Linked DNA regions of Mus musculus. The protein of the gene in region 1 binds, or shares a complex with, the protein of each later gene. Links are inferred from orthologs where the notes say so. Each region holds a gene or a part of one and is shown in the gene's direction. Other genes may lie near its edges. The genes, in order: Ripk3, Zbp1 and Aim2.

What was found.
Region 2: Ripk3 (region 1) and Zbp1 share a complex: the UniProt entries of both Homo sapiens proteins name them as parts of the AIM2 PANoptosome complex. The link is inferred for Mus musculus from reciprocal best matches to the Homo sapiens genes RIPK3 and ZBP1.
Region 3: Ripk3 (region 1) and Aim2 share a complex: the UniProt entries of both Homo sapiens proteins name them as parts of the AIM2 PANoptosome complex. The link is inferred for Mus musculus from reciprocal best matches to the Homo sapiens genes RIPK3 and AIM2.

Annotation. Positions count from the first base shown.
Region 1 is NC_000080.6:55,785,990-55,790,277, reverse strand, and holds the start of Ripk3 (receptor-interacting serine/threonine-protein kinase 3), read left to right. Parts: upstream 1-1,420; 5' UTR 1,421-1,641; coding exon 1,642-1,661; intron 1,662-1,815; exon of another isoform or gene 1,816-1,896; coding exon 1,897-2,040; intron 2,041-2,144; coding exon 2,145-2,454; intron 2,455-2,838; coding exon 2,839-2,996; intron 2,997-3,117; coding exon 3,118-3,164; intron 3,165-3,261; exon of another isoform or gene 3,262-3,353; coding exon 3,354-3,521; exon of another isoform or gene 3,522-3,627; coding exon 3,628-3,695; intron 3,696-3,919; coding exon 3,920-4,252; intron 4,253-4,288. UniProt on the Homo sapiens protein: Serine/threonine-protein kinase that activates necroptosis and apoptosis, two parallel forms of cell death. Necroptosis, a programmed cell death process in response to death-inducing TNF-alpha family members, is triggered by RIPK3 following activation by ZBP1.
Region 2 is NC_000068.7:173,216,060-173,220,220, reverse strand, and holds the start of Zbp1 (Z-DNA-binding protein 1), read left to right. Parts: upstream 1-1,298; 5' UTR 1,299-1,445; coding exon 1,446-1,479; intron 1,480-3,212; coding exon 3,213-3,449; intron 3,450-4,161.
Region 3 is NC_000067.6:173,462,058-173,465,626, forward strand, and holds part of Aim2 (interferon-inducible protein AIM2), read left to right. Parts: coding exon 1-263; intron 264-698; coding exon of another isoform or gene 699-806; exon of another isoform or gene 807-1,795; intron 1,796-1,801; coding exon 1,802-1,990; intron 1,991-2,913; coding exon 2,914-2,961; 3' UTR 2,962-3,569. UniProt on the Homo sapiens protein: Sensor component of the AIM2 inflammasome, which mediates inflammasome activation in response to the presence of double-stranded DNA (dsDNA) in the cytosol, leading to subsequent pyroptosis.

The DNA of each region.
Region 1 (4,288 bases):
TCCTGAGGGCTGGGATTAAAGGTGTGCACCACCAGTCCTGTTACCCAACAGTCTGACACTCTAGGATCTTGAAAAGCTTTCATGGAGAATATATGCCATGCTTGCCTGAAGCATGAATCAGAGTATTTACTTGCCAAAGGTATCACACAAGGGGAAGGGTGGGAAGCCCTTAGAGCTGCTACAGAGGCCATCACAGCAGCAGTGGCTCGATTGCAGGGCCAGCACACCTATCCTCATTACAACACCCTGGCATAGACCCTGGGCCTTCCAGCTCCACAACCCCTACTTAGTAGCTGCTCTTGCTGAGCAGGGATTCCAAGAGGTCCTTTAGTGCATACTGCGTGCCTCATACCTTACCTGCACCACAGGTAGATTTATATAGCCCAGAGGCATTGTCAAGAAGAATAAGCTAACTTGAGCTGGAGTGTGTGTGTGTGTGTGTGTGTGTGTGTGTGTGTGCCGCTTAGTAGGCAAAATTCTTGTCATGCAAGCATGAGGACCTGAACTCATATTCCCACAACTAAAGTGACATTGGGGACAGTAGCCCATGTATACCATGCCAGTGTTCCTACAGCAAGATGAGAGACAGGAGAATACTGGGACATTAACAGGCTAACACATAGCATTATGCACACAGCAGAGAACAAACTGACCCTATCTCAAACAAGGTCGAACACCTACACACACACACACACACACACACACACACACACACCATGACATGCACCCCTTCACCACATGCATGGTCATGCACACACATAAATAAATTTTAAGATAAATAAGAAAGCCAAGCATGGTGGCGTACACCTTTAATCCCAGCATTTAGTCAGGAGGCAGATGCAGATGGCTCTCTGTGAGTTTGAGTCAACCTGGTCTGTATACTCGAGTCCCAGATCAACCAGGGCTCCAAAAAGAGACCCTGTCTCAAAAGTAAGTAAGTAAGTAAGTAAGTAAGTAAGTAAGTAAATAAATAAATAAATAAATAAATAAAATAAGGGCTACCTTGGTGGAGCAGAACTCGGTTCTAAACTAGTCCCATACTTACTTGGCCAAGCGATTTAAACTTTAAGTACTTGGGTTTCCTCCTCTATAGAAAAGAAAACACGGTTGATCTAAGAAGCCAGTATGTGTACCTGGCCCAAGACAACCCTTACTAGAAGCGTTACTCCGTGATCTTAGGACCATAAAATCCTCCTGATCTCCATCCTCCCTTCATCAAAATGTGGTTGGCAAGCGGTGGAGCTAAGGGGTCCAAGAGAGACTGGCTATCGTGGGGAGTCAATCGTTCCTGGATGGTGAGGACACCTTTTGTGGCACGCCCAGTGCCTGGGCGCTTCTCGGGTGGAAGCAGTTTCAAGGCACGTGCACAGGAAATAGCCCCAAAGTTTTCAATGCTCCACCCCAGGGGGCGGAGATAGAAGGAGCCTCTTATTTGAAAGGGAAGTTGTGAAGTCGCTCATTCAAAGTCCGGGGGAGCGACCTGGGAAGCGGAATTCGGGGCCTGAACCTCCGTGCCTTGACCTACTGATTGTTCCCTTTGCAGACCCTGCCTTCCTCTCAGTCCACACTCCGAGCCGTAGACGTCGGGTTTCCAGCTCCGTCTGTGCACACATAACTCCAGGAAGCCGCTAGCTCCCGACGATGTCTTCTGTCAAGTTATGGTGAGTGGGGAGTGAGCTGTGTCTCCGGCACACCCACACAGGTGGCCCGGGGACACACTCAAAGGACGCCTTTTCTGAGGCAGGGGACAAAGCTGGGGGTGAGGCGGGCAGCAGTGGGGAGGCTAGACTCGCTGCCTACGCTGCCCACGCGCAGTCACGGAATCCCGGAGCTTGGGAGACAGAGGATGCGCTAGGCTGGGGGATGGGCCCCCTACCGGACAAGAACCTTTCTCAGGCCTACTGGTGCGTCAGCGGTTCCTCTGGTGAGCCGTGAAGAACTGAAGAAGCTGGAGTTTGTGGGTAAAGGAGGGTTCGGAGTCGTGTTCCGGGCACACCACAGAACATGGAACCATGATGTAGCAGTCAAGATCGTGAACTCGTGAGTGACCCCAGCTGTAGTCAGAGTGTGGTCACGAGCCTGAGTGGGGCAAGGGTGGGGTCTTCCAGAGCGCAATCCAATTTTGGCCCCCTTTCGGCGTGTAGGAAGAAGATATCCTGGGAGGTGAAGGCTATGGTTAATCTTCGTAATGAGAACGTTCTGCTCCTGCTGGGGGTCACTGAGGACCTCCAGTGGGACTTCGTGTCCGGGCAGGCTCTGGTGACAAGATTCATGGAGAATGGCTCCCTCGCAGGGCTGCTGCAACCCGAGTGCCCTCGGCCCTGGCCACTCCTCTGTCGCCTGCTGCAGGAAGTGGTGCTGGGGATGTGCTACCTACACAGCTTGAACCCTCCGCTCCTGCACCGGGACCTCAAGCCCTCTAACATTCTGCTGGATCCAGAGCTCCACGCCAAGGTTAGTCCATCTACAACCTAGTGTAGACTTGGGACCATGTTGAGTACCTGTCCCTCTGAATACAAGACTACACACATGACAAGACCCAACTAGGAGTTTTATTTCTAGTCATACCAGGTGACCCTCCTTACCAGACGCCCTTCTTAACCCCCTGGCTCAGTTCCACAGGCCTAATGCACCCTCACGGACCCAGGCTGACTTATCTCAGGCCTGCCCATCAGCAACTCAGATCTCCTGCTAAGTTCTCAATGACTTTACCTTCCCTCTGGTCCTCCATAACACCTTCCAAAAAGCTGAGGCTGCTGCATCTTCTGGGGAGCAAGAGAGGGAAAAATCTCTGACCCCCCCCTTCATCTAATACCTTCCCTTTCCTTTCCTTTACAGCTAGCAGATTTTGGCCTGTCCACGTTTCAGGGAGGGTCCCAGTCAGGGTCAGGATCAGGATCAGGATCCAGGGACTCTGGGGGCACCCTAGCGTACTTGGACCCAGAGCTGTTATTTGATGTCAACCTGAAGGCTTCTAAAGCGAGTGATGTCTACAGGTAAACCATCCACCCCAAACACACTCCAAATCTCTATACCAATTTGGGCCCTTCTAAAGGGAATGATACAGGAAAGAAGTCTCGCCAGAGGCCATCTAAGCCTCCATTTGTGTCTGTACAGCTTTGGGATCCTCGTGTGGGCAGTGCTGGCTGGCAGAGAAGCTGAGTGTAAGACTCCAAATGGAGTACCCGAAAGCACCTAAACCCCCCTGGAGCCCTCCCTTTTACCCTGACCCACTAACACACTGCCCTCTTCCCACCTCACCTCTCACTTGGATGACTCTCCCTGCTCCTGTCCGCGATAGAATGGGCTGTCCCCTCATTTCATGAATTCCTTATGTTATCCCCCAACTCCAGTGGTAGACAAGACTTCACTAATCCGGGAAACAGTGTGTGACAGGCAGAGTCGTCCTCCACTGACAGAGCTGCCTCCAGGTAGCCCTGAGACTCCCGGCTTGGAAAAACTGAAGGAGTTAATGATTCATTGCTGGGGTTCCCAGTCCGAAAACAGGCCATCCTTCCAGGGTGAGTTGGCCGTATCTCTGGCAACTAGGGTAGGCTTGGGTCTTCAGCAGGGAGCTCCTCCAAGGAAAGAAATCCGACTCATATACAACTCGCTGTTGTCTTTCAGACTGCGAACCAAAAACCAATGAAGTTTACAATCTGGTAAAGGACAAGGTAGATGCTGCTGTCTCCGAGGTGAGTTTCTAGCACTGCCTTCCCATCCAGGAACTGTTGGGAGATGGCACAAGTGGCTCCCTTAACCATTCAGTTTATCTTCACTGGCCACCATTATTTAATCCTTGGTTGTCATTCCCATTCACCAGAACCTACTCCTTAGTCTCCAGAGACCAAGAAAATTTTCACTGGGGTTTACTTTGGCTGCCCCAGCTCCTGACAACAAGGTCCCCCTGTCTGCACAGGTAAAGCATTATCTGTCTCAGCACAGAAGCAGCGGCAGAAACTTGTCTGCCAGAGAGCCAAGCCAAAGAGGCACAGAAATGGATTGCCCGAGGGAAACCATGGTTTCTAAAATGCTGGACCGCCTGCATTTGGAGGAACCCTCCGGACCAGTTCCTGGAAAATGTCCTGAGAGGCAAGCACAGGACACATCAGTTGGGCCTGCCACACCAGCAAGGACATCTTCTGACCCCGTGGCTGGCACTCCTCAGATTCCACATACTTTACCCTTCAGAGGCACAACACCTGGGCCAGTCTTTACTGAGACTCCCGGTCCTCACCCCCAAAGGAATCAGGTGAGACACTGGCAAGACTAGAGCACACCCTCTTAC
Region 2 (4,161 bases), on another chromosome or scaffold:
ATCTTTACATTATGTTTCATAACAATAGCAAAATTATGGTTACAAAGTGTTGATGAAAATCATTTCTATGGTGGGGATCACAACGACGTGCAGAGTTAGGATGGTTGAGAGTCACTGACCTAGGAGGCTCTGACTCCTTCCAGGCAGGTCAGCTAATGTAAGGAAGGGAAGGGAAGGGAAGGGAAGGGAAGGGAAGGGAAGGGAAGGGAAGGGAAGGGAAGGGAAGGGAAGAGGAAAATGCTGAAGAAAGGAGTGAGGAGGGCATGTCCTGAAGCCCTGCTAAGTCTGGAGCCACCTTGGTTAGGGACCAAGCAAGACCCCCTGGGCAAGAGGCGGTTGGTGAGCATGCGCCACCTAGTGGTCAGTTTTCAAATGGCGCCTCTAGGGAACCTGGGCAGTGTCCCTCAATGGGGCCAGCTGAGAGTTCATTTAAAAGCGACTTTATTTATTTTGGGTGGCAACAGGCAGTGCGGTTTCTGTTTTCCTTGGCTGGCTCTGCAGGCACTGTTTTTCCTCCCTGGAAGTCATAAAAAAATCACTTGGAAATGTTAATATTTTCCCATGCACAGGCCCATCCTAAGCTGTGTAGACCTGGCCTGGTCTTGGTCCCTTGGTGACCCTTTCAGGTTCTGTAAGGTGAAGCTGACTGGGGACCTGCCACCTCCTGCTTGCTTGGCAGACATCCTCCAGGCACATCACCTCCTTCTAGTCTCCAACGACTGCTGCTGTCTTGCCCTGTGCACCAGTGACCTGCACACCAGACAGGTACAGAGGTCCCAAGATCATGGCCTCTGCACTCACCCCACCTCCACCCTGTAGCCGGGACCCAGATTCTGGGATTATTGTGAGCTGAGTGGTGGACACAAGGCCATCTCTGTGAGCCCCGATCCCCTCTTACGTAATATGGAACAGAGAAGTGTCTGAGCTGTTCACGGGTCACTGAGAATTTATGAAAGTGAGAAAAGGGGCTCTTTTTCTAGAAGGTATGTGAGTAGATGGTACTACACCTGCCTGTGGGCATGTGGGGGAGGCACAGTAGGTGCCTTTTCCTAGATCTATCTTCCTCCTCACAGGGCTTTCACAGAGTTCTCTTCAGATAGAGCTCTCCCGGTGGGAGACCAGTCTCCACCCCAGAGGCCAAGACTCCTCTCTTCTCTGTCACACAGTCATCCAACTCCAGCTTGCTCACCCACCCCGATTTCAATTTCGATTTCGACACCCTTTCTTTCCGAGAACCACACCAAAGTTTCATTTTCTCTTTCTTTGAAAAGCTGGAGGGCGGGGAGGGGATGGAGCCAGATGGGTATTTGTTTCCGGGATGGTAACAGCTGGTGCCTGCAGGTCCAAGCAGCCATTCTTGCCTGTGGATTCAGAGCCCCAGGCCTGACCACAGTGCCAGAAACTGCCACCCCCTGCCCTAAAGGAGCCCCAAGGCTGCTGTGAGCATGGCAGAAGCTCCTGTTGACTTGAGCACAGGAGGTAAGCTAAACCTCTTCCTTCACCTCGCGTGGGTCCCAGCTGATGTTTCTAAGGCTCCTAGCTCTTTCCTTGGCCCAGACAGCAACAGGATTCTGAGGTCACCACAGGGAAGTCAGCTTGCTTCAAGGATCCTGTGCCCCAGATCCTTCATGTCACCTTACCTCATTGATGAGGTCACCAAGGCCTGTGACAGCCCTCGGGCTCCGAACTGTCATTTCAAGAGAGGACTTTGCTTTGATAAGGAGATGTGACTTTGATTTTACATTCAAGCTCTTCTCCTGCCCTATTTGAACCCTTGCTGAGACTACATACCCTGTCTAGGGGCTTCTGGGCTATGGGAGGCTGCGGGGTGCAGGGCTGTGTGAGGCTGCCATGCTGTGGGCAGGATTTAGTTCACTGCTTTTCTTCTTCATCTTTTGAAAAGCACTTCATTTTTGTTTTTTGTTTGTTTGCTTTTGTTTGGTTTGGTTTTTTCGAGACAGGGTTTTTCTGTGTAGCCCTGGCTGTCTTGGAACTCACTCTGTAGACTAGACTGGCCTCGAACTCAGAAATCCGCCTGCCTCTGCCTTCCAAGAGCTGGGATTAAAGGCGTGCGCCACCACGCCCAGCTGAAAATCATTTCTTATTTCAACATACTAGAAGTGGTTGCTCAAAAGCTATCAGGGAGGAGCCAAGCAAAGACCAGAACTAAGGTCACCTGGTTCCCATGGTTTCCTTTCACTGCTAACCTTTCCAGCCTGTCACCTGCAGCCTTCTGCTTTCCAAAGTCCCACTTTCAGACCCTGCAACCAGTCCTTCAAGTTCACCCTTTGGAGAAGGCTTGGCCTGCCTTGTGTGTCCCTAGGGGCCAGTGGGAGAAAGGAATGAAGGAGAGGCCACTACAGGGCACACTCCCCAGCAAAGGTTTTACAAGGCAAGGCAAAGCCAAGTCAGGAATAGATGCTCAGTGCTATAATCCTTCCCCCAACACCCTCCTCCTCCTCCACCCCCACCCCCAGCCCCACCCTGGGGTGGGGCTGTGGCTGAAGCAGGAGGATTGCTATGAGTTCCAGGCTAGCCTGAGCTAGACTTTGTCACAAGAGGAAAGAAAGAAAGGTAGAGGCAGACTCATGGATAAGCAGACAGACGTGCTGGAAGGGACATGAGGTGGAACTTGGGGATCCTCAGGGTTAGACACGGAGGAGGAGGCTGGGTAGCTAGCAGGGGTGGAGGGCTCTGGGAGGAAGCCTTCTGGAGTTGGCAGGCAGGCATCTGGAAGATGACATTGAGGCTGGGTTAAAGAGCTGAGCTGGGTTTTCAGGACTCCTGCTGTATCAGGCAAGGGAGGAGAGACCCATTTTTCTTATCTGCTGGGCTCCTGGGCTGGGAACACCCATGCCTTCGATGTGGGTGCTGAGCAGGAGAGAAAGGGACTCCTGGCCAGGCTGAGAGGCCATCAAGACACCAAATAGGGACTTCAGGGCTAGACTTGGTTTCCTGCCTCTCCCTTTTGTTCCATCGTCCGAGAGTTGGGGGTTCCTACCTGTTTGGGTTCCACATAGTACACAGGGCAGGCTGTATACTATTTTACCATTTGGCCACCCAGACATCTAGTTGTGGGGTGAGGGGCCACCTGACTGACACCCTTGCCTCTGGGTGGTGTCGTCGTTCCTGTCTGCTTGGCCCAGGTCACAGGTGCCTTCTCTGCTCTGGGGACTAGGCTTAACTCAGCTCTTCTCTGGGTTCCTCCCCAGACAATCTGGAGCAAAAGATCCTGCAGGTGTTGAGCGATGACGGCGGCCCTGTGAAGATTGGCCAGCTGGTGAAGAAATGCCAAGTGCCCAAGAAAACCCTCAATCAAGTCCTTTACCGCCTGAAGAAGGAGGACAGAGTGTCCTCCCCAGAGCCTGCAACATGGAGCATAGGCGGGGCTGCTTCTGGAGATGGGGCTCCTGCAATCCCTGAGAACTCCAGTGCCCAGCCTAGCCTTGGTAATCTGTCATGTAGGCAGAGCAGACCCCCCACACACACTAAGCTCTCCTCCCCCCTACACGCACATTAAGAGCCACGAGGCTTGGCTTCAAATCTGAGCTTGGCCATTCCCTCTCTGTCTCTTGATTTCTTCTGGCCAATGGAGCCAAATGTGAAGCTTAGGGCTTATACATAGTAGGTGTGCAATAGACATTAGCAGTAGTGAAGACACACTGCAGGCAATAGTTACACGGATAGTGAGGGCTGATGGGTAAGGATTCACTCAGAGCCTTCAGGTGACTTTGAGAGCCATCAAGAAGAAAGGACCCAGAGTTCCAAGAGCTGATGCGGTCCCCAGGGCCACCTTGCCTTCATTCAGCTCCAGATAGAGACAGGAAAGGAAGCAGCCTTGGGACCTCAACCTTCAGCAGACAGTATCTGTGACCCAAACAGACAGGAGGTCCTGGGTCCCAGCCTAATGTGCTGCCCCCAGCTCCCCTGAGAAATCATTCCCCATGTTTAGTGGAGCAGGGTGTCTCCCATCTCCAACGGACACATCCTTCTTCCAGACTCAAGACCCTAAAGAGATGTAGGTGCAACTTCAGGGGGCCCTGGTCTGCAGCTCAGTGCACCCCCATGGGCCTCTCCAGACCGCTGAAGCTCCACAGGAGTATCAGAGGCCAGACTCACTGTTAGAAGAGAGGCTCTAAATGGCAAGACATGGACTCTGAC
Region 3 (3,569 bases), on another chromosome or scaffold:
CGGAGACAGATTTTTTCTTTGTAAAAGTTTTAAACGCACAGTTTAAAGATAAATTTATCCCAAAGAGGACAATTAAAATATCAAACTACCTTTGGCACAGTAACTTCATGGAGGTCACCAGTTCCTCAGTTGTGGTTGATGTTGAATCTAACCACGAAGTCCCAAATAACGTTGTTAAGAGAGCCAGGGAAACTCCCAGGATTAGTAAACTGAAGATTCAGCCATGTGGAACAATTGTGAATGGGCTGTTTAAAGTCCAGAAGGTAAGTTCCTATACGCAATTTTATATTGATCAGTAAGAATAATATAAAATATAACACCTATTCTAAGCCTTAATGGGACTTTAGAAAATACATTTCAATGTTTTTTACTCTATTAAATCTGAAACAATTAAAATAAATTTAAAAATTGATTTTAAATCATTTTAACAATTAAAAAAGAATTTTACAGAGTTCAGGATTTGTAGGATGATAATTTACCAAGACAAAGCTCACCAAGTTTTATTTTGTATTTTTGATTGTTTTGCTGTTTGAGACAGGGTCTTACTGTGTGGCTTTGTCTTATGTGGCATGCACTGATATTCGCTGCCCCTACCTCTTGAGTGCTGGGATCCAAGTGCATGTCACCACACACAGCGAAGGAAGGTTTGATTTTGAAACTCTGATTTTGAAATTTCTTTTTTTTTTTCCGCCTTGTAGCTTCTGAAGCATAGACACAGGCATCTTCACCTCTGTGTTGCTTTTATGCACTTAGATACTAGCCATATTCAAAGTCACTGTTGGGTTGAGCACTCTGCAGAGGACTGATGTACAGGTATGGTTTGAAGACAGAGAGAGAGAGAGAGAGACAGAGGAGAGGGAGAGAGAGAGAGAGAGAGAGCCTGACTTGAGCTTCTAAAACATCAAGGCCCACCCCCAATGACATTTCCTCCAACAAAGCCACTCCTACTTCAACAAGAGGCCACATATCTTAATCCTTTTGCATACTGCCACTCCCTGTGATCCTGTGGGGACCATTTTCATTCAAACCAGAAATCAGGTTAAAAAAAAATATATATTAGTCTTGTACGAACAGTTTTCTGGCCTAAGAGCGACCCTGAAGAACCACAGGAAACGTGTTGATTTCTGAACTTGTAGCCAGGATGGCCTCTCTCGTCTTTTCAGAAAGGAGGCAGGAGGGAAATGTCTTCCTTGGAAAATTAAAGCATAAAAAACACTCATCCCCTCTCAGTTCTGAGCCTTCCGTTTGATCAATTACCCACTAATGTTTTCTCATTTAGTGAATAAAACTAACATTGAAATATTGATATTTTACATCCCTGACTAGAATCTGGTCTCCTTCTAATCTGGACTTGACTGTGAATGATATTTCATTCATGGTTGACTTTTTACTTTTAAATTTCTTCACTAGGTCTTTTATTTTTGGTTCATGGGTTTCTGTTACTTGTTTCCTTAAGTGACTCTCCTCCTAACCAGGAGGTGCTCCTTTCCCATGACTGCCCCCTGCATGCTGGCCCTGGAGAAGCCCCACCTTCCCTGTCTACCCGTTGTTTCTGTGAGTTATTCTGGCCTCCCAAAAGAAAAAAACCTTGGGACTAGGAAGATGGACACAAGAGGCAACATGCTTTTAATATAATCCTCCTACCCCTTCCACTGAGATTTGCTAGAATCTGTTGGGTAGAAGTTTGGAATTATTTATTATATTATTTTGGAAAGCTGCTCCTAGCTTGTCTGATAACTGATTGATATGCTGCTCTTTCTTAGTCATCTAGCAGGACTTGACTCATATTTTCCTTTCACAGATAACAGAGGAAAAAGATAGAGTACTGTATGGTATACATGATAAAACAGGGACAATGGAGGTGTTGGTGCTGGGAAACCCAAGCAAAACAAAGTGCGAGGAAGGAGACAAGATTAGACTCACGTTCTTTGAGGTGTCAAAAAATGGAGTGAAAATTCAGTTGAAATCTGGACCTTGTAGCTTTTTTAAGGTATGGAAATTCTCAGAAGAGGATGTTGTTTTGTGTTTTCTATTGGAAATCCAATGAACAGGATGGCAGAGAAGAGCTTAATATGTATGCCTTTGCATCTCACAGACCTGAGAAGCCTGTCATTCAAAAATACATAACCCAGATACACAATTCAAAGCTGTGGATTTCCCAAGGAAAACACACATATGCGTGTGCATGTACACACACATACACATACACACACACACATACACACACACACACACAAACACATACACACATGCACACACAAAATCTCACTCTCCTTCTTTTCTTCTTCTTCTTCTTCTTCTTCTTCTTCTTCTTCTTCTTCTTCTTCTTCTTCTTCTTCTTCTTCTTCTTCTTCTTCTTCTTCTTCTTCTTCTTCTTCTTCTTCTTCCTTCTCCTCCTCCTCCTCCTCTCAAAGAACTTTCCACAATGAATTTATTGAATACAGTCTAAATCTAATGAAGGCAGCTTTCTCAAAGTTGCACACATCATTCTGGCAAATGCAGTTAAAAGTCAAGTCAGACTATAACACCCTGACAACAAACATCTGAGCCAGGGCAATCATCTTCACATCTGTCATAGTCCAAAGCAGTTAAGTCAGCTATCACATCCCCGTGCTGATGATCCCACTGATTCTGCTTTCCTCTCTTCCTCACCACTCAACTGTATATATAGAGTTATTAGATGGGGACCTGAGAAGTCTTCATATTTGTCCTTCTTGTGTAGGAGTGTGTGTGTGTTCAGGGCAGATATAGTTCAGGAGAGTTGTCCAAGAGTGACAGAATTAAGAGGAAATATGTGTTAGGTGAGGAGATTTGATGAGAAGAAAGGAATTTTCAGGAGAACACAGTAAGTGAAAGTAGAGGAGAATTAATTAATCAACAATATTTCAGTCTTCATCTTCCTTTCCTACCCAGGTTATTAAGGCTGCAAAGCCAAAAACTGACATGAAAAGTGTGGAGTGAAGTCACCTCATTTGAAAAACCTTTTCCTGAAGAATCCTGATGCTGCTCCTTGAACTAGACTGAACTACCTGAGGATAGCATTTTACAACCTCATCATCATATTGTATTACTTAGAAAAGGACAAATACTCAAAAAACATCTGAAAAATATATGTAAACTTATTATTAATTAAGTTATTAAGACTGCCCAACCTGGGGATCCATCCTATATACAACCACCAAACCCAGACACTATTGCATATGCCAGCAAGATTTTGCTGACAGGATCCTGATATAGCTCTCTCTTGTGAGGCTCTGCCAGTGACTGACAAGTACAGAAGCAGATGCTCACAGTCATCTATTGGATGGAACACAGGGCCCCTAATAAAGGAGCTAGAGAAAGTACCCAAGCAGCAAGTGGTCTGCAACGCTATAGGAGGAACAACAACATGAACTAACCAGTACCCCCCAGAACTGTGTCTCCAGTTGCATATGTAGCAGAAGATGGCCTGGCCGGTCATCAATGGGAGGAGAGGCCCTTGGTCTTGCAAAGATCATATGCCCCAGTACAGGGGAATGCCAGGGCCAGGCAGCAGGAGTGGATGTGGGTGGGTTGGGGAGTGTGTGTGG